Drosophila melanogaster: one gene and its partner. The gene in region 2 interacts genetically with the main gene of each other region. Each region holds a gene or a part of one and is shown on either strand. Other genes may lie near its edges.

Region 1 (7,714 bases), 520 kb from region 2:
CGTGTGATAGGGGTAAATGCAGTACCTCAAAACCTGCCATTATCTTTACACCTTGAAATAAATGTTCTCTTGCTAATTAAGACTAGGTAAATTCCATAAACCGTATCATATCGGTTTTTAATCAATTTCTAAGGCAGTGACAGTTTTTAAATGTCGCTAAGGGAGCGGTTGAGAAATGTATGGCTGTGAGCATTGATAATAACTATGGGAAGTTGGCGCGAAATGGTAGGTATATGACCATCTATATGTGGAAAGATAAGGAACAACAATAATAAAGACCTAAACATAAAAATATACTTGCTTTACCAAACGAATGGTTCCTAATATTGTACATATATCTCATCCACTAGTGTTTAAAATAGAACAAAATAAATGAAAAAACTGCACATGATGATCACAGACATTGGACAGAGCGCAGTTTTTAACCGCTTTAAAAATTTAGCCATAAATTTAAGCTTCACATGGTAGTAAACCTTCTACAAATTACACCACCAGACATATGAGCTGAATGAGGGCTTTCACACGTGGGAATGGTGTTCCAAGGCCACTGATGATGGATCGTTACCCTAGTAGATGACATCATAACTGGGTCTAGCAAAACGGAAGTAAGAGCACTCCATGTGGACCCCATTCACTTACAGGTCCTATCACGGGCTTGGGCTCAACGAAGACCCCTGCATCCTGCGGCTTTAGCCGGGCACCCAGGCTATTAGTGGGACTCCGGGTGGCGGGCGTTCCAGCGCCAATGGGCGTAGCATCGCTGTCGGATGAGGCGGCGGCATTCACTCTCACGGCGGGCTCGGGAAAGATGAACTCCTGGGCCACCTCGGGCGGCAGCTTTCGACTGAAATGGCCAGGGATTAATTAAACATTTTTACGGGGTAAGCCACAAGAACCTACCACAAAGTCGAATGGCGATTGGGCGTAGTGTCCTCGGCATCGAAAAACTCCTCTGAACTGTCCGAATCCGTTTCCAGCTTACTCATTTCGTGATTTGTGCGTTTGTGATGGGTTGTCGGCGTTATCTAACCACCCAATCGTATGCAAATTATCCACCAAATTACGATTTTCTCTATGGTTTTTTGTTATTGATTCCCTTTTGTTGCTGCGGCGCCCCACTGTCTTTTGTTGTTGTTGCTTTGTTGCTTTCTACTCGTGTGACGTCACTCGCTGCCGCACTAGCGCTGAATGCACTGCATTTAACATGTTGCTATCGCCTGCGTTTTATTACACATAATTATACTGCTAATTTAGTTCCTAATCAATTGTTAATTGAGTTTTTACGCTTGATACGCGTAAATACTAGTGGTGTCAAAGATGCAATAATGATTTCGATTGCGTCAAGTATGATTAATAAGCAATCGATTGAACTAGCGATGGGCTATTGGTCGTGCTTGCTCGTGACACGCAAAAATGCGGCGAGAGTCCGCGCGTATTTTAAATTTATACACTGTATTAAATTTATACAAAAACCTAATGTTTTATGTTTATATTCCAATATTAAATCGAAAATATATATATACAAAATTTTTAATTTCCTACATCTCGCTTTGAAAATAACGTATTTGAGGCAATAGGGGGCATTTAAATATTTTCTACATAAGTCGGATTTCTACATATATGTGCCTAATTTTACTATGGTATTTAATTATCGATCACTGGTAGTCACACAGCTGATATCAAGCTCCCCCACCATTGTTGGGATCTCTGCTAAGATAAAATTCAACCTGTTATCGATAACCGACATTTTTGATTGTGGACTGCCACCGCTATCGAAATGCACCATATTGCTTTGTTATTGTATTTTCCGCACGGCCCTCGAACAAAGTAAACAAATGTATAAATGCATGTGTTTTTGGCGAGCTTGTAACTGTTAGTGAAGCGACGCGCGGAGCGACGACATCAACATTAAGCCCGTGTTTCGAGTTAGGCGAGGCCAGGCGTACGTTTAACCCACGCAGAGCCCGGGCGAAATAAACGTAAATTCACGCAATTACTTCGCAGTAAAAAAAGCATCGGGTGCCAATGATCGCTACTACGCAATAGAAAAGTAATTTATCATACAATTTCGCCACTGCAAAAATCGAAAGTTTCGGGTTTTATTCCCTGCTATAAAAGTGATAAGAGCACGTTAACCCGTTCCTGTTACAGCTGAATAACGGTAAAAATAACTGCACACCCATCCCAACCGATTATCTGAAATCGGGCTCGAAGACAAAGTCTGGTATTTAATGGCAGCCACCTAATGATTATGTGACATTTCGCTTTGTGGTGAAAGAGATCCTAATCCATTAAAACTATATACTATATGCATGAATGTAGGATCTAGAAGATGAAAACATAAGTGCTTAAATCGACTCAGCTGGTGTTGCTTATCAGTTATGTACAAAGTACATATGTTTCTCTGTAGATAATTCCATTGTTTTATCGTGCGGTTTCAAATAAAAGCATCAGAGACGTTTTCGAAAAATGTGTTGAATTTTTAGAAGTACATGATACGATACTTCTTTTGAGCAAACTTCCAACTTCCGCATAGATCTCTTGATATGCCGCATAACTAACCTAGTGTAAGATTATCATCTGCACGTCACTAATAGCGGCCATATTTGAGTAATTTTGAACAGTACTCAATCTAATCTCGAATCTGTGCTCTGAACACTATAATCATATTGAGCGTATTGCGTTTTATCAGCGGTACATATATGTATGTATGTATATAGAAAAACAAATGGACTAGACTTTGTTGAACAACAATACAATGATAACTTGTTTGGCAAACTGGTTTCGCGGCTTCAATCTTGTTTATTAATAATGTAGAATCGAAGGGTTTGCTTCTCCGTATGCTGGTTAATCAAACTCAAAGCCATGTGATACTCAGTGCTCGGTTGTGGGTGTAGACATATGCACATAGTACCCTGATCGGAACAAAGAACTTTCTTCGGTGTTCTAGGTGATTTACAAGGGTGACAAATCTATTTATGACTAGTGCAGCAAAGCTGAAGCTCGATTAAAACTCGGGAATGTACCAAGTTTCCTTTTTCCCATGCCATACACTTTAATATTCTTTGTTGATGAATTCCCTTTATCTATACTTTCTTTATATCTGCTCGGGCACACTCCTTATCACCCAAGGGACCAAGTTTCTCATTCGGATTGTTTGCCCCGCACGTTTTGATTGATAATCAAAGCATGTTCACTACGCCATGTCCCAGTTTTAGTGCAGCGTGCAAAATAATCTCTGCCATTTTGATGATCCATTCAAAAGTTTGCGGCCCTACTGGCGACAATAATGATTCACAAGTGATTGGCGAGCTAGCAACTCTTTTAATTGCATCTTTACGCCAAATTGTATTTATAGCACGAGCTTTGGAGTCCCCTGTTTATATTTTCTTTTCAATTCATCTATAAGAAGGCGAAGAAGACGATAATTGCACCACAACGAGCTCAGTTACCGACGCGATAACACACGAATTGTGGAGCTTGGAGCATAAATTTCCGCATTAGCAACGCTCAAGTGTGATATAGTTTACTGGTATTGTGTTAACAGTTGGCAGTATACAAATACCTCACGCCACAAATCAACTTTAAATCGCAGAAGAATCTATTGTCCTCTAGTCTTCCAGCAAAATAGTGCCACATTATGTTTATTAAGTACTTGTGCGATTCGCCATATTCGTGAATAACTAACTAACTATCTGAGTGTAATTGACAGGATTCCCGGAATTAATCTGAACTGTCTTTTCAGTGAAGGCTCGCCCAAGAAACACAGCAATTAGTGCAACAGCTAAACAGATAATCCCGAGTTATTGTGCCGAAATTGAATTATTTACTCATCTGATCAAACCGTAAAAGCAAACTTGAGTGGCTTCCTAGTAGCGATTTTCGACTAATTTAAAAGAAACCTGAATCTGAACAAGAAGACTCTCTTTGCTATTGTTGTTTTGCGAATCTTTAAAGGGCAAATACAGTAGAATAACAATAAAAGCGTGAAACAGTCATAGTTCGCATAGAGTATTTGTAATATTGGAACAGATGAACTGAATGATAGTTAATACAGCCTCCTAGTCTCAGTCTTTAGAGATATTTTGGGTAACTCAAGTAATTACACGATGTCTAAATCTAATCTAGCTCATTTGCTTTCTGATAGTTCAATGACAACGACACTGCGAAAGATAAGAGTGTAGTATATACGTATATAGTTATTGTATAGCCATAGCTTACCGGATTGATTTCGCATCTCGCTACTGAAGTTCCGAGGCATTCCCATTCTGCCCGTTCTGTCGGGGATTAGACATCATTCGTCCGCTTCCAAGTTTGATTCCCCAATACACATGCGGAGTATTGCCGCTTAGCAAAACCGCCGAAATCATGTCACTCCATTGTGCCAGCGCCATCGTAATCTTATCGCGGCAAAGTGAACAGTTTAAGCTGCATCGTGCACATCAAATCGGAAATCAAATGGAAACAAAGTATCTTGACGTGGGCGTTCCGAAGCAGCGTCTCCTGAAAATTCGTTTAGTCTGTTTCTGCACATTGGAAGCGTCGGTTATCGAGCTTGGAAATTAATTTTCGCCCAATTTACAATCTGTTTTGGTTGGTGGCAGTGATATAAAAGTAGTTTACGATCGAGAGAAGTTTGATTTACAAGTAGAATTCTTCTACTAATCGTACAGCAGATTCTAAAATAAAAAATCCTGGAAAGCAATCACATTCAAACTAACTAACTGCATCTAAATTGCTTATTAATTATGGAAAAAGCCAATTAATTATTGCTCGAACTCGAACAAGCCATATTGGCAAATATATATTTATCATTTAAGTACCTGCATTTTAGATAAAGTCTACCAGGTTCGCTGTGATACGGGTAACAAGTTCCACAACGAACAATTTGATATTTTATTGGTTATAGTGAGGCAGGACACGCTTACTCATCCTGATGGAGTAGCTATCGGGCAATGGTCTTAGTTTGATTGACTGCCGTTCCCTATGAAGCCGTCTAGTCACACTTAAGTTGCCATGATTAAATTTTACAGAGACTCGCTTATCGAACCTGACAACGAGCGCAGTTGAGAGAGTTTTTCCCTGCCCCTTTATTGATTATGGCTGACATTGTCCATATCTAAAGGATTTTCGCATCACCGTCTGTCTGATACTAAGAACCGCATCTAGTTATTCAATGATTTTGTTGCCAGGTGGCGGATTTGGGGAAACATTTGCTTAACTGGCTATTTGTATCAAAATTTACGTGTGTGCTGACATTTCTTAAACCATTTAAATTATATTTTCTTTACTAGCCGAGTCATCATCGATCACGGCACATACTCCACCGAAAGTCACTGGACATGAGCAGGCAGCAGTGACTGAAGAAACCCAACCCAGTTCCAGCACAGAGCAGCGCATAAGTAGCCGTAAAAAGGCAGCCGAAAATGACCACGAACAGCAGCTTCTTCGATGAACACATCGCCATGATATACTCCAACCTGATGGACCAGTACATGCCCGAGTACTTCAAAAGCTTTGAGTACACGCCATGGGTTTTCTCCCTGCTGGGATCGGTGGTAATTGGACTGAGTGGCATATTCCCGCTGATCATCATTCCCACGGAGGAGAAAATGGCTAAGGAGGGATACAAAGATCGTAAGTCACATGCGTACGAAAAGTATATCAATTGAACTTGAATCACATCTCACCCTACAGCTGCAGATTCAAAACTCCTGCGAGTGCTTCTGAGTTTCGCGGTCGGCGGTCTGCTGGGCGATGTGTTCCTTCACCTGTTGCCAGAAGCCTGGGAGGGCGATAATCAAGGTGAGTTGCGGGGAAATCCAAGTTGTGAAATCATCTCCATAATATTCGTTTTCCTCCTAAAGATCCTTCTAGTCACCCATCCCTGCGCTCGGGCCTTTGGGTACTTTCCGGCATACTGATCTTCACGATCGTGGAGAAAATCTTTTCCGGATATGCCAGCGCGGACGAGGAGAACCCTCAGCCCAAGTGCGTGGAGATAGCCAACTGCCTGTTGCGTCGACATGGCGGCCAACTACCAGAGGGCGAAACCTCTGAGAGTTGTGGCGGCGCCTGCGACATCGAAGATGTAGGTAAAGTCTGTTTCCTACGCGAGCAGGAACAGAAGTCAAAGGAAAGGAAGGAACAGCCGAAGAAGGTGGCTGGTTATCTGAACCTCTTGGCCAACTCAATTGACAATTTCACACACGGTCTAGCCGTGGCTGGATCCTTTTTGGTGTCCTTCAGACACGGCATTCTAGCCACTTTTGCCATATTGCGTAAGTACTTATAGATACTATTGAAACATAGGATAGTTCCTCACTTATTTCCCTACATACAGTTCATGAAATTCCGCACGAGGTGGGGGATTTCGCAATCCTGCTTCGATCCGGATTCAGTCGCTGGGACGCCGCGCGTGCGCAACTACTCACGGCGGGAGCTGGCCTGCTCGGTGCTCTGGTGGCCATCGGAGGCTCCGGCGTAACGTCGGCCATGGGTAAGCTTAAATGGGCTCTCCGTGTGACAAACAAGCAAACTTATCTTTACATTTACAGAGGCACGTACTTCGTGGATTATGCCGTTCACCGCCGGCGGCTTTCTGCACATTGCTCTGGTCACAGTATTACCTGATCTCTTGAAGGAGGAGGAGCGCAAGGAGTCCATTAAGCAGCTGCTAGCACTGGTATTTGGCATTGCGTTAATGGCCGTGATGACCATGCTATTCGAACACTAGGAACTTTAGCTGACAGCAGTATAAGAAGAAAATTGAAAGCAGTTTTTAGTTTGTTCTAAGATTGTCATTGGCAGTTTTAAATTAACATGAATTTGTTGTACTTTATGGGATTCGACATCCTGTCTGCGTTATGTAATTATAGCCAATATGAATGATATTTAAACTATTATTAATGATTACGTATTACTGTATCATACTTATGAAACGAAAATTCAATAGACATTTAAGGGAGAGTCCTTTGCCCTCCACTATCCACGAACATTCTTATCTTTTATCTGGACTTTATTTGGGTAACAAAAGCGTCCACTATTTGGGCTGCATTTCTTTGTCAGCAGGAAAATTAAAGAACAAAATCAGAAAAATGCACTTCCTATAAAAAACAAGTTGTTTTATTCCGTTTTTGTTTGCAAATCATGTCTTGCAAGCTTATCTAGTGCCTTTATTTCTTAGACTTGATCTTCTTAAGGTAGAATTCCAACTCCTTGCCTTCCAAAATGTAGCCGTCGGAGCGACCGCACTGTCCGGGGCGGGAAGAAATGCAAGCTGAAAGGAAAAATAACAGGGAATTAGAGCGGGGCTTCCAGTAAATGGAAAAGTATAAGTTTAGTGGTCTGATCAGAGTAACTATGACAAGCAGAATCACACCCAACAGGCTTGCGTCTCTCTTAAAACAAGATCAACACAATAAAGTAGCTGGATCGCTAGGGTTTTTACATCACTATAACAAAAATCATTAATCATGAATTAGAAAGAATACACACCCAAGATGCGGCCGGAGGTGAACTGATCCTCGAGGGCCTGCTCGACCTTGCCGTACTTCTGGCGCTCCAGGTACTTCTTCATAACCTTTTCGCTGCGCTTCTTGGTCAGCACGTCGTTCTCGTCCTCTTTCTGGGCGTGCTTGGGGTTACGCTTGCGTCCCAGGGGCAGCACGTAGTGAGCCTCGTACCACTGGCGGAAGGGCGTGGCATCGATGAC
Region 2 (4,534 bases):
CTTTTTCCTTAAACATTCCAGTTTTAAACACCTTTTTTACAGTTTTTTCGTTGTAAGTTGGCCAAAATATGTCACAAGGCTGAAAAACGCACTTTTTTAGTCAGCTGGGGTCCTCAGCTAAAGACCCATATCAATATTTGCTTTAATTTGGAAAAATAATTTTTCGGCCAAATTTCGCATTTTTTGTAAGGGGTAACATCATAAAAAATCGAAAAAATTTTCAAACCAAAAATTTCTCTAAATGAGTTACCCGTCGTTTAGGAATATTTTTACAAGTTCAACGAGGTATTCCACTCCACAATTGGACGTGTCTTTCCCAAGATATAGCACTTTTTCTGTGAAATCCCCATCGAAAATTATCAACAAGAATAAAATCACCCTCGTTTTCCATCTGAAAAAACTCCCTCAAAAACAAACGCATATACAGTTTATTTCGTTACATATATATTGTTATTTATTTAAGAACTTGCTCGTCTAATTGACAGAAAAATATAAAGATATAGGATGTATTGAATGGGTTGTGCTGAGTGTCTTACTATGCGAATGAGCGATTCCACTTAAGCCTAGGCGAAATCTCGGCGATTGCATAATGTGGAGCCCCCTCCCGAGGTGTACGGAAATCACAAGTGGTTGATAAGAAAGAACAGACGTGGAATTTTGCTGTGCTGGTTTGAGGATCGCAGTCGAACGGATAATTTATTGGCCAGTCGCCGACTTGGCTGGTGATGATTTAATAGCGGACCCTCGGGAAGGCTCTCTGGGCTGACAGATAACAGATAACTCGACTGGCTGATAATTTTGATGCGTGACTGGGCGCTGCGCCTTCTCTATCTCCACCTCCTTACAGGGTCTTGTCGAACAGGAACTCGCCCAGTTCGCCGTTGGTGTCCATCATCTTCTTGAGAGTGGTCAGCTTGCCGGCGAGCTCGCGCTGTCCGTGGAGCTGCTCCTCCAGATAGACACCGGTCAGGTAGTCCACCAGGTGGTAGTGGTTGTAGGGCTTGTTCTCGCAGGTCTGGATCAGCTTGCGGATGGACTTGGTCACCTTGATCTCCAGGTCGAGGGCGTCGGACAGGGCGGCGGCACCATCGGTCCACTCCTGCTTGGCCACAGTCTGTGGGGGATTCGCCAGGATTAGCTGGGCTTTTGGGTTTTCTAGGCGAGTCGTCGACTTACCGGCACATTGATCAGATCGCTGACTCCCTCGGTCAGTTGACCGCGCATGGACAGGTACTCCACCAGCTTGGATCCGTGCTCACGTTCCTCCTTGGCGGCCTTGAAGAAGTGCTCGGCGAATCCAGGGCGGTTGACGGTGTCGCGGGAGAAGTAGGCGCCCATGGCCAAGTACTGGTAGGAGGCGTTGATCTCCTCCTGGATCTGATTGCGCATGCCCTTTATGCAGGCATCCTTCATGTCCACCCAGTCCTTGGTAATCTCAGGAACAGCCAGGGAGCCTGCAATGGGATAAGGTTGGGTTAAGTCGGGGGACCACGATAACAATATATGGCTAGTATTCAGCTTTAAAAAATTTATTTTTGTAATCAGAACTTAGGTAAATTTTAATATTTTAAAAACCTTTGCACTCTTGGTCTTGACCTTCATGGCTTAGGTTTTGTTTTTCTTTTAGTTGATGCTCTTCTCGCTCCCTTTGAAGCTCTCTCACGAAACTCTTGCTTTCTTGCTTGGCTGAGGGGTAGGGCGTTGTTGGTTATTGCATTTAAGAGGGCGTAATTGCATAAACCTTTGAAATTGCGCTTGAAATGCCGCTATTCTAGGGCACAAAAACCGTGTGCAAAACTGTAATGGCCTACTCTCCCACTCTCTCTCTCTGTTTTTGTAACTGCATTGGTAACGTGCGCAGCTCTCGCCGCCATAGTAACGGCATTTGTTTTCGTGTAGTGCCGTGTGCAAAAAGCATGGTTCACCATGCTAGCTCACTCGGCCCGTAAAAGCCGTGTGCAAAGAGCGCCTTGAAATGTAACAACAAAAAGTCAAGCTTATTTATACCGCAATATTCATGGAAATGAAAGCGAAATTCGCATTATTTAATTATGAAAATTTATGTATAAAAACTGGTTATCATTTCCCCAAAGCGCAACGGAAGTATCAATAACTTTTAAATCAACTGGTTTGGTAACTTCACTTCATTGACGAAAGAGAGTGAAAGAGCGTCAAAGAGAAACGGCGCATGCTCTTTTCAACGCATTACAAATGTTTTGCTTCTCTTTGCGTATTGCGTCGAAATTTATTGTTTTTTTTCCGATGACCTGCCTTTGTTTTGTTTGAAATTCTGATGAATAAAACGTAACATTAGTACTTACACTTGAAATCTCCATAGGCCTGGGCCACCACGGCCAACAGGAGCAGGCTAGCAATTAGTTTCACCATCTTTGATCGTCGAACGTAGTCTTTACACAAAATCACAGAACAAAAATTTGTTTTTCACTTTAGTTTGATTTGCTTGAAATGCACAAATGAGAATGAGGCGACTCGAGTTGAGCTACAATGTTAAATAGGCGTTGAAATTGAAAATCTAGCTGCCTTTACACACACTGGCGCAGAAGGCGTCGCCTGCTTCAATTTGATGGGCTTGATTGGGATTATTTTCGACTTCTCGAATGCTTTCCAGTACCTTCTGCTGACAGCTTTAATCTGATTTTTCAGTGGAGCTAAGGCCTTTCTACGTTGTGTTTTAGCGAACTCGAAAGCGAACTGTCGCTCCGAACGGCGCACAAAACACTTTTAAGCGCGCGCGCTCTCGGTTTTTCTTCGTGTGTGTGTGAGTGATGGGAGAGTGTGCACTGTTATCTTTTCAACATGTCGCCCGTTCTTTGTTAACCGTTTAAATGGCTGATAATTGAATATTCCCGATAATTGCCGCACTCAATGTGATACACACGTCCTCAATATGGGTATACTTTGTATAAAGTCGGGTTTCCTAGTCAGATAATCCCCACTTACTAAGAAGTAAATTTATCAAATGCAATATGGCCGCTCTTTTGAGATGCGCATCAGCTGTTCTTTGTTTTTGTTTTGGCCGTGGGAGAGCACCACGTCATGTGTTGCCAGGCGGTTTAATTATTGCTGACAATTTAATTCACATTTTGTCAAGTTGATTTGCACGTTCGAAGGGGGGATCAGTCACCCACTTTGATAACTGCTAATATGGCGACGGCTCTTTTTTACGTGTCGCTTGCAGAGCTCCAAGAATGACACTTGATAAGAAGGATACATGGTGGGAAAACTTACAAATTACATAATTTGTTTGTTGATTGGGGAAACCCTACATTATCTCCGAACCCAGCAATAATATGTATTGTAAATAGCAACAGTCTCAAGCTCGATGCTGCTGTGAATTACCAATATATCAAAACTTAAAACATTATCTTAGGAGGTAGATGGTTTATCTGCAGTTTATTTTCAATTCTCATCGTTAGCTGATAAAACTCTCAGGAAACCACTTGAAATCCAAAGTGCAGCGTCCATATTTTGCACACGCTGACAACCCTGTCGTGAGTCACCTTCCAGCAGGCGCAGCAACAACAGCACTGGCAGCGGCCATATTTGAATGACACCGAAATCCCGCACTGAGCGCAAAACAACACATGCCCATGCACGCTCTCCAAAACCACACACACACAGCCATATCGATCGCATAGAAAGAGACGTACGCGACGCTATAAACAGCAGTTGATTTTCAGAGTTTCACCAAGAAGCACATAAAGCGATTGAATTATTAATAAAAGCACAGGCACTGGAAGTGAGTTTTAATATTACTAACTAACTACTTTGTGAGTGTTTAGTTACGAAAACTAGAAAATAATATTCTGGAAACTGTGTTTTTAAACCGACCACCATATAAATTTAAAAACCAAAACATTCCATTGGTGGTGGTTTTGTTGTTAAAAAAGAGCACAGAAAATTCAAGAAAACGCTACGACGCAAAACGAAAAAACTCGCCCAAAATGAAAACAAAAGTGTCTGTTTTCCAATTGTCAATTGTTGTGAAACTAATTTCCTTTGTTTTCGCCTCTCGAATTTGATTTTAATTTACAGTAAACCGTCGACATGAAATTTTTCGTTGCACTCGCTCTCTTTGCGTGCCTCGGCTCTCTTGCCTTGGCCAAGGATGATGAATATTGCCAGAACACTGTAATCACCGCATGCTCTACGTCAGCCTTTTCGGGTGAGTAAAGAGAGCGCCTCTAAGAGAGAGTGGCTAATCTGTGTTGTTGCTTTTTGTATCTTTGTAAAACATAATAATAAAAACAAGCGCTCACGGGCTTTTTCACAGGCAAGAGTAAGTGAAATATAGATTGGATGTATTTCTGCACTATCTCAGATTTCGTGAAAATGAACACTTTCCAATTCTTACTGCATTACGGCCCTTACATTATTATTTTAAAGATACAAATACAAATTCAAAATTCTATTGCCTTGTTTAGTATGGCACTACCTAGTTAGGAACCATTAAGACTATGTCATTACTATTGGATGTGCTTCTGCTCTCCTATTCTAAGAGTGTGATCTTTAT

The links.
Region 1: of Fer1HCH (region 2) and Zip99C, changing one suppresses a phenotype caused by changing the other (phenotypic suppression), as found in Drosophila melanogaster (one study listed by BioGRID).

What each region holds. Positions count from the first base shown.
Region 1 is NT_033777.3:29,862,980-29,870,693, reverse strand, and holds Zip99C (Zinc/iron regulated transporter-related protein 99C), read left to right. Parts: upstream 1-1,798; 5' UTR 1,799-2,161; intron 2,162-2,622; exon of another isoform or gene 2,623-2,704; intron 2,705-2,876; exon of another isoform or gene 2,877-2,950; intron 2,951-3,479; exon of another isoform or gene 3,480-3,514; intron 3,515-4,159; exon of another isoform or gene 4,160-4,178; intron 4,179-4,513; exon of another isoform or gene 4,514-4,593; intron 4,594-5,181; exon of another isoform or gene 5,182-5,294; 5' UTR 5,295-5,426; coding exon 5,427-5,637; intron 5,638-5,697; coding exon 5,698-5,805; intron 5,806-5,867; coding exon 5,868-6,281; intron 6,282-6,343; coding exon 6,344-6,499; intron 6,500-6,557; coding exon 6,558-6,736; 3' UTR 6,737-6,993; downstream 6,994-7,714. Other genes in the region: CG34133 (uncharacterized protein), read right to left, coding at 640-844, 901-986; RpS8 (ribosomal protein S8), read right to left, coding at 7,176-7,279, 7,498-7,714. UniProt on the Drosophila melanogaster protein: Involved in zinc transport and homeostasis.
Region 2 is NT_033777.3:30,385,143-30,389,676, forward strand, and holds Fer1HCH (ferritin 1 heavy chain homologue), read right to left. Parts: upstream 2,478-4,534; 5' UTR 2,389-2,477; coding exon 2,322-2,388; intron 2,268-2,321; exon of another isoform or gene 1,970-2,267; coding exon 1,961-1,969; exon of another isoform or gene 1,742-1,960; intron 1,687-1,741; coding exon 1,576-1,686; intron 1,455-1,575; coding exon 1,177-1,454; coding exon of another isoform or gene 1,156-1,176; exon of another isoform or gene 1,115-1,155; coding exon 842-1,114; 3' UTR 660-841; downstream 1-659. Other genes in the region: Fer2LCH (ferritin 2 light chain homologue), read left to right, coding at 4,069-4,186, 4,274-4,300. UniProt on the Drosophila melanogaster protein: Stores iron in a soluble, non-toxic, readily available form. Important for iron homeostasis. Iron is taken up in the ferrous form and deposited as ferric hydroxides after oxidation.